Xenopus tropicalis: one gene and its partner. The protein of the gene in region 1 purifies or fractionates together with the protein of each later gene. This does not show direct contact. Links are inferred from orthologs where the notes say so. Each region holds a gene or a part of one and is shown on either strand. Other genes may lie near its edges.

The links. Proteins that work in one complex are often made in the same cells at the same time.
Region 2: the proteins of cnot7 (region 1) and capzb purify together in Homo sapiens (co-immunoprecipitation; 3 studies listed by BioGRID and IntAct, with this or other methods). This does not show direct contact. The link is inferred for Xenopus tropicalis from reciprocal best matches to the Homo sapiens genes CNOT7 and CAPZB.

What each region holds. Positions count from the first base shown.
Region 1 is NC_030677.2:42,299,999-42,304,179, forward strand, and holds the start of cnot7 (CCR4-NOT transcription complex subunit 7), read right to left. Parts: upstream 2,806-4,181; 5' UTR 2,663-2,805; intron 2,656-2,662; exon of another isoform or gene 1,977-2,655; intron 1,174-1,976; 5' UTR 1,071-1,173; coding exon 954-1,070; intron 1-953. UniProt on the Homo sapiens protein: Has 3'-5' poly(A) exoribonuclease activity for synthetic poly(A) RNA substrate. Its function seems to be partially redundant with that of CNOT8.
Region 2 is NC_030683.2:129,971,433-129,975,519, reverse strand, and holds the start of capzb (F-actin-capping protein subunit beta), read right to left. Parts: upstream 2,802-4,087; 5' UTR 2,568-2,801; coding exon 2,565-2,567; intron 1-2,564. UniProt on the Homo sapiens protein: F-actin-capping proteins bind in a Ca(2+)-independent manner to the fast growing ends of actin filaments (barbed end) thereby blocking the exchange of subunits at these ends.

The DNA.
Region 1 (4,181 bases):
TACCTGGCCGACATTTTCTTACCAACTGAAGACACTTTGGGTCTCACCGCCGATACGAACCTGCTTGCGCATGAGTAGTTGTAGGTAGCAGGAAATCTGCTTCAACTGCGCATTCTCAAGCAGGTTAGGTGTCGGCTGTGAGACCCAAAGAGTCTTCAGTCGGTAAGATGTTGGCGAGGTACGCGGTTGCGCTTGTCTGCATTTTTAGCTAGCAGTCAGCAATAGGGACAGAGTGTAAACTTGAAAACAATGCGATATGGGAGAGGTGGGGGGGGGGTCTAGGCAAAGAGTGCCATCCGGAAGTAAAGTTCTCCTTTAAAAATATGTTAATCAAAGTCCCTGAAACAGCACCGTGTGCCACTATTCTAAGAGTTTTAGTTGCTACCTAGCCTACCCAATGGCAGGCACCTTACCAGACCATGGCCACCATACACCTTTAGCAGTTGAGCCCATGGATCTTTACTATCATAAAGCTGCTACAATTAGCTTAGAATAGAAAATACAGCATTTCTAGCCATATTCTTTTTTTTTAGGCTTTAGTTCTACTTAGAAATATCTTTAACAAATAAGTGCAGTAAGCAGCCTGACTTGTTTCTACACACTAGAAAAATTATAACTGCAATATAAACCGAACCCATTGTACTGGACAAAAAAAATATTAATATTTTAATGTAAACAAGTACTTATATTGCATATTAAAGTAAATTAATTATTCTATTATTGTTATGTCACACGAAACATTGGGCCATTAGAGTCTATAGTTGATATAATATTACCCTGACAGCGGAAGCAGTGTGGCAGATACTGCAAGCAAGGATTGCTTATAAACAGTAAATAGGTTCCCCTTTGAGGAGACTCAAAAATCTATAAAATCTTAAATATTCCTGAACTCTTAATGCCAATTTCAAAAATGAAAAACATTTTTGGAGGGGAAACAAACATCCTAAACATACCATTGCAACATAATTATACTTGCGTATAACTTGGCGGATTCTCTTCATTTGATCATCCAGGTTGCAAGCCCAGACTTCGCAAATTCGCTGGCTGAGGTCCACTGTTGCAGCTGGCATAGTGGGTCTGGGGGACTGACTCAGAGGCAGGCATCAAAATTTTGCAATTAGCTATTAAAGGGTTTCATAGGTGGTAGGCCGAGGCCGAAATCAGCTGCTAAATCTAAAATTAAAAGAAGAATAGTTTTTATTTTACTAACAAATAAAAAATAATATACCGGTATAATACTAGCAGGCAGAACATATCAGGAAATGCCAAGAAAGGGGAAAGGTGGCCCATGTGCATGCCACCACCTTTTGAACAATATGCACTTTGTGCAATACATTTTATATTAGGAATGGGGATCCTCTGACTATGGAGTGTGTTTGGTCCATGACATTACCCAAAAATTGATTTTTGTATTTTGCCCATATATGGTGATCCATTGTTAATATGAGTTAGGGGAAGTTGTGGTTGAAGCACAAAAGTGTATAAATAGAATATTTCTTCTCTCTACCCATGGTAATAGTTGTAAAGCCATCTTTTAAGTCAACACTGTGGCTTCTTTAGGGAGTAGCATAATTCTATTTTGCCTTAGTGCTCTATACAGCAAGGCCCAGCAATCTGAGCTTTCTGGCCCATCACTAAGCAGAGATAATGAACACAGCTGGTACTGTTAGGCTTCAACTGGGTAGTAATAATGTAGGCTAGCAGTATTATTACAACTCTTGGAAAGTGACCATACCAGAGTTCTATACATAAGAATCTCTAGGTGCCACCCTGGATGCAGACCATGTTTTATGCAGATCATGTGTTAAAGGGGCAGTATATGCCAATATACAACATTAGCAAAATAAATAGAACATATGCAAATAATACAGCATATCATTGAACATATCAACTGAAAAAATTGCATATTTCTTAGTGATAACATTATAATAAATCAGAAATGAAGCATTTGTTTTCTCCTATGCTTACTCTCTTACCATTAATTAGATGAGTTAGTTTATCTAGATATACTGAGCTCTGTATAAACAACCCTCATCCCATCACCCTTTGTTATGTCTAGTTTGGCTTACAGGTTGGCAGGATTTCCTTTGTGCACTGATAATGATCTGCCTCACAAAACATGCATGAGCTTCAGTTGACTGTTTAGCACAGAAAACATCAAAAACAATAAATGTTTCCTGATTAAAACAGACAAAAAGTATGATCAGCACAAGTTCTATTCATTGCAATCATAATGAACAAGGGGGTATACTGCCCCTTTAATAAAAGCCAGAAATGAATGGGGAGAAGCAGGTCTCCCTGAACTGTCTTGCGGGGTAGACAGGAAGATGTCCAGCTGCACTTGTTGCTGAAGCGTATCCTTTGGCTGATGAAGGATGCTGGGTAATGTAGTTTACGAGCTAGGGGTTCGCCACACAGCTGCCAATAAAAGCTGTTCAGGTGCAAGTATCCCTTCTGCGTCCCTTGTGATTGAACGAGCTGGAGGCTCCCCGACTGGATACTGGCCCATAGTCACGGTATGTGCGCTAAGCACCAATGCCTACTGATGCTTGTGACAGACAATACAGCCGCCTCTGGTTGTGCCCAGTGTGTGTGTGTGTGCCATCCCACTGCTCCGTATCCGTTCTGTAAGGCTCACAGCCCGACACTATCCCTGCCCTACCTAAGATAAGTCTGGCCGCTGCCGGTCTGTCACTTCACGACCGCGCTCCCAGGGCTCGCACAGGAGATTACCGAGGCCCCTACACGTCATGCGAGCGACGCGCCAGTCCCACGGCAGGTTCCTGCTAACCTCCTCCCGGACGCACTTGGATGACGTCAAGCCGCCACAAAGGCGTGGAAAACCATCCCCTTCTCAAGCTGGTAGGTGACATGATGTCACAGGCTGTGCGTCATACGGCGCGACCCATGGAGAGTGAAAGTAAGTGGCAACTGGGATTGTGCTTGATGGGATAAACACACAACTGTCTATCTAGTATGTGTGTGCAGGTATGTGACAACTGCGTGTATGGCTTCTCTCAGATATCATGGTGCGTAGGGAAGGTTACATACATGTTGTGTAGCACGGCAAGGGACAACTGGGGGTGTAAGAGGAAGTGACAGCCGACTGTATCTTGCGGTTTTATTTAATGTTATCTGAGTGAGGGTTGAAGGTTAATAAGGTACACTTAGAAATTGGGGGGGTGTTAATAAGGTACACTTATGAAGTGGGGGGGAATGTTAATAAGGTACACTTATGAAGTGGGGGGGAATGTTAATAAGGTACACTTATGAAGTGGGGGGGGAAGGTTAATAAGGTACACTTATGAAGTGGGGGGGAATGTTAATAAGGTACACTTATGAAGTGGGGGGGAATGTTAATAAGGTACACTTATGAAGTGGGGGGAATGTTAATAAGGTACACTTATGAAGTGGGGGGAATGTTAATAAGGTACACTTATGAAGTGGGGGGGAATGTTAATAAGGTACACTTATGAAGTAAGGGGAAGGTTAATAAGGTACACTTATGAAGTGGGGGGGGAAGGTTAATAAGGTACACTTATGAAGTGGGGGGGAAGGTTAATAAGGTACACTTATGAAGTGGGGGGGGAAGGTTAATAAGGTACACTTATGAAGTGGGGGGGGAATGTTAATAAGGTACACTTATGAAGTGGGGGGGGAATGTTAATAAGGTACACTTATGAAGTGGGGGGGAATGTTAATAAGGTACACTTATGAAGTGGGGGGGAATGTTAATAAGGTACACTTATGAAGTGGGGGGAATGTTAATAAGGTACACTTATGAAGTGGGGGGGAAGGTTAATAAGGTACACTTATGAAGTGGGGGGGAAGGTTAATAAGGTACACTTATGAAGTGGGGGGGGAAGGTTAATAAGGTACACTTATGAAGTGGGGGGAATGTTAATAAGGTACACTTATGAAGTGGGGGGGGAATGTTAATAAGGTACACTTATGAAGTGGGGGGGGAATGTTAATAAGGTACACTTATGAAGTGGGGGGGAATGTTAATAAGGTACACTTATGAAGTGGGGGGGAATGATAATAAGGTACACTTATGAAGTAAGGGGAAGGTTAATAAGGTACACTTGTGAAGTGGGGGGAATGTTAATAAGGTACACTTATGAAGTGGGGGGAATGTTAAAAAGGTACACTTATGAAGTGGGGGGGAATGTTAATAAGGT
Region 2 (4,087 bases), on another chromosome or scaffold:
CTACCCACAGGTCTCTGCCCTGCACTGACTGGCACACCCCCTACCTACAGAACTGCCCACCCTCTACCCACAGGTCTCTGCCCTGCACTGACTGGCATAGCCCCCTACCTACAGAATTGCCCACCCTCTACCCACAGGTCTCTGCCCTGCACTGACTGGCACACCCCCTACCTACAGAATTGCCCACCCTCTACCCACAGGTCCCTTCCCTGCACTGACTGGCATAGCCCCCACCTACAGAATTGCCCACCCTCTACCCACAGGTCTCTGCCGTGCACTGACTGGCACACCCCCTACCTACAGAATTGCCCACCCTCTACCCACAGGTCCCTTCCCTGCACTGACTGGCATAGCCCCCTACCTACAGAATTGCCCACCCTCTACCCACAGGTCCCTTCCCTGCACTGACTGGCATAGCCCCCTACCTACAGAATTGCCCACCCTCTACCCACAGGTCCCTTCCCTGCACTGACTGGCATAGCCCCCACCTACAGAATTGCCCACAGGTCTCTGCCCTGCACTGACTGGCATAGCCCCCACCTACAGAATTGCCCACCCTCTACCCACAGGTCTCTGCCCTGCACTGACTGGCATAGCCCCCACCTACAGAATTGCCCACCCTCTACCCACAGGTCTCTGCCCTGCACTGACTGGCATAGCCCCCACCTACAGAATTGCCCACCCTCTACCCACAGGTCTGTTCCCTGCACTGACTGGCATAGCCCCCACCTACAGAATTGCCCACCCTCTACCCACAGGTCTCTGCCCTGCACTGACTGGCATAGCCCCCACCTACAGAATTGCCCACCCTCTACCCACAGGTCTGTTCCCTGCACTGACTGGCATAGCCCCCACCTACAGAATTGCCCACCCTCTACCCACAGGTCTCTGCCCTGCACTGACTGGCATAGCCCCCACCTACAGAATTGCCCACCCTCTACCCACAGGTCTGTTCCCTGCACTGACTGGCATAGCCCCCACCTACAGAATTGCCCACCCTCTACCCACAGGTCTGTTCCCTGCACTGACTGGCATAGCCCCCACCTACAGAATTGCCCACCCTCTACCCACAGGTCTGTTCCCTGCACTGACTGGCATAGCCCCCACCTACAGAATTGCCCACCCTCTACCCACAGGTCTGTTCCCTGCACTGACTGGCATAGCCCCCACCTACAGAATTGCCCACCCTCTACCCACAGGTCTCTGCCCTGCACTGACTGGCATAGCCCCCTACCTACAGAATTGCCCACCCTCTACCCACAGGTCTGTTCCCTGCACTGACTGGCATAGCCCCCACCTACAGAATTGCCCACCCTCTACCCACAGGTCTGTTCCCTGCACTGACTGGCATAGCCCCCTACCTACAGAATTGCCCACCCTCTACCCACAGGTCTCTGCCCTGCACTGACTGGCATAGCCCCCACCTACAGAATTGCCCACCCTCTACCCACAGGTCTGTTCCCTGCACTGACTGGCATAGCCCCCTACCTACAGAATTGCCCACCCTCTACCCACAGGTCTGTTCCCTGCACTGACTGGCACACCCCCTACCTACAGAATTGCCCACCCTCTACCCACAGGTCTGTTCCCTGCACTGACTGGCATAGCCCCCACCTACAGAATTGCCCACCCTCTACCCACAGGTCTCTGCCCTGCACTGACTGGCATAGCCCCCTACCTACAGAATTGCCCACCCTCTACCCACAGGTCTGTTCCCTGCACTGACTGGCATAGCCCCCACCTACAGAATTGCCCACCCTCTACCCACAGGTCTGTTCCCTGCACTGACTGGCATAGCCCCCTACCTACAGAATTGCCCACCCTCTACCCACAGGTCTCTGCCCTGCACTGACTGGCATAGCCCCCACCTACAGAATTGCCCACCCTCTACCCACAGGTCTCTGCCCTGCACTGACTGGCATAGCCCCCACCTACAGAATTGCCCACCCTCTACCCACAGGTCTGTTCCCTGCACTGACTGGCATAGCCCCTACCTACAGAATTGCCCACTGCTCCCACCCTCAGGGGTATCCCCATTACACCCATTCCCCACAAGTGTGCTTAAGCAAAGGGGCCCAGTTGTGTCCCTGCCAACCCCTGACCCAGCTGCCAGGCTGGCACAGACCCCACACACCCCTGGCATGAGTGGCACAGGCCTAGGCACACTGAGGGCCACACCCCCTAGCCACCCCGCCTGCCCCAGGCCAATGGCACAGTTTAGCCCAAATGCCCCGAGTGACAGCCCGGTTAGGTTGATCCCGGCCCAGTAGCCCGGCACCCTGCCCATACCAGCCGCTCGGCCCGGAGCAGATACACAGGGGGGCAGATACACAGGGGGGCAGAAGTGCAGGGAAGGCGGCGGGTAGCGGGGAAAGGGAAGTATTACAGGGCCGGGCCCCTCACACACAGGGGAGCTGCTGCCGGTACATGTGGCCCCTGGAGGGGAGGGGGGCCCTGCACCCCAAACTACAACGGCTCCCGTGACGTCAGCCCTAAGCGGGGCACCCCCTGCCCGGACCCCCTGCCCGCATCTCCCGCACCCCCCTTCTTCCCCCGATTGTTACCATGGCTGCGGTGGGTTAGAGCCGGACGCGGTAGGAGGGGTCACGGTGGGGCGGGGCTGCGCTCCGGTTCGGCTCCGTTTCCTAGTCGCTATGCCCCGTAGGCCCGGCGGCGCCTCCACTTCCTTAGGACCTAGGAGTGAACATCCGGGTCAGCGGCTCCGAAGTTGGAGCCACACCCACGGCCCTGCTTAACTGCCAATCACAGCGCGGCCTTGCAGCCATCGCCAAGTATGGAGAGAGTGACGTGCAGACGGAAGGGGGCGGGGCTTGCGAGGCGCGGAGAGAGGGGGAGGCGGGGCAAAGCGGAGAGTGACACAAATGTTCCAGTCTGAGTGTGTCAGTGTGTGTGTATGTGGGAGAGACTGTCAGTGTGTGTATGTATGTATGTATGTATGTGTGTGTGAGAGACTGTCAGTGTGTGTGTATGTGGGAGAGACTGTCAGTGTGTGTATGTATGTATGTATGTATGTATGTGTGTGTGAGAGACTGTCAGTGTGTGTGTATGTGGGAGAGACTGTCAGTGTGTGTATGTATGTATGTATGTATGTATGTATGTATGAGAGACTGTCAGTGTGTGTATTTGTATGTGTGAGAGACTGTCAGTGTGTGTATGTGTGAGAGACTGTCAGTGTGTGTATTTGTATGTGTGAGAGACTGTCAGTGTGTGTATGTATGTATGTATGTATGTGTGAGAGACTGTCAGTGTGTATGTATGTATGTGTGAGAGACTGTCAGTGTGTGTATGTGTGAGAGACTGTCAGTGTGTGTATGTGTGAGAGACTGTCAGTGTGTGTGTATGTATGAGAGACTGTCAGTGTGTGTATGTATGTGTGAGAGACTGTCAGTGTGTGTATGTGTGAGAGACTGTCAGTGTGTATGTATGTATGTGTGAGAGACTGTCAGTGTGTGTATGTGTGAGAGACTGTCAGTGTGTGTGTATGTATGAGAGACTGTCAGTGTGTGTATGTATGTGTGAGAGACTGTCAGTGTGTGTGTATGTGTGAGAGACTGTCTGTGTGTGTATGTGTGAGAGACTGTCTGTGTGTGTATGTGTGAGAGACTGTCAGTGTGTATGTATGTGTGAGAGACTGTCAGTGTGTGTGTATGTATGAGAGACTGTCAGTGTGTGTATGTATGTGTGAGAGACTGTCAGTGTGTGTATGTGTGAGAGACTGTCAGTGTGTATGTATGTATGTGTGAGAGACTGTCAGTGTGTGTATGTGTGAGAGACTGTCAGTGTGTGTGTATGTATGAGAGACTGTCAGTGTGTGTATGTATGTGTGAGAGACTGTCAGTGTGTGTGTATGTGTGAGAGACTGTCTGTGTGTGTATGTGTGAGAGACTGTCAGTGTGTATGTATGTGTGAGAGACTGTCAGTGTGTGTATGTGTGAGAGACTGTCAGTGTGTGTATGTGTGAGAGACTGTCAGTGTGTATGTATGTGTGAGAGACTGTCAGTGTGTATGTATGTATGTATGTATGAGAGACTGTCAGTGTGTGTGTATGTATGAGAGACTGTCAGTG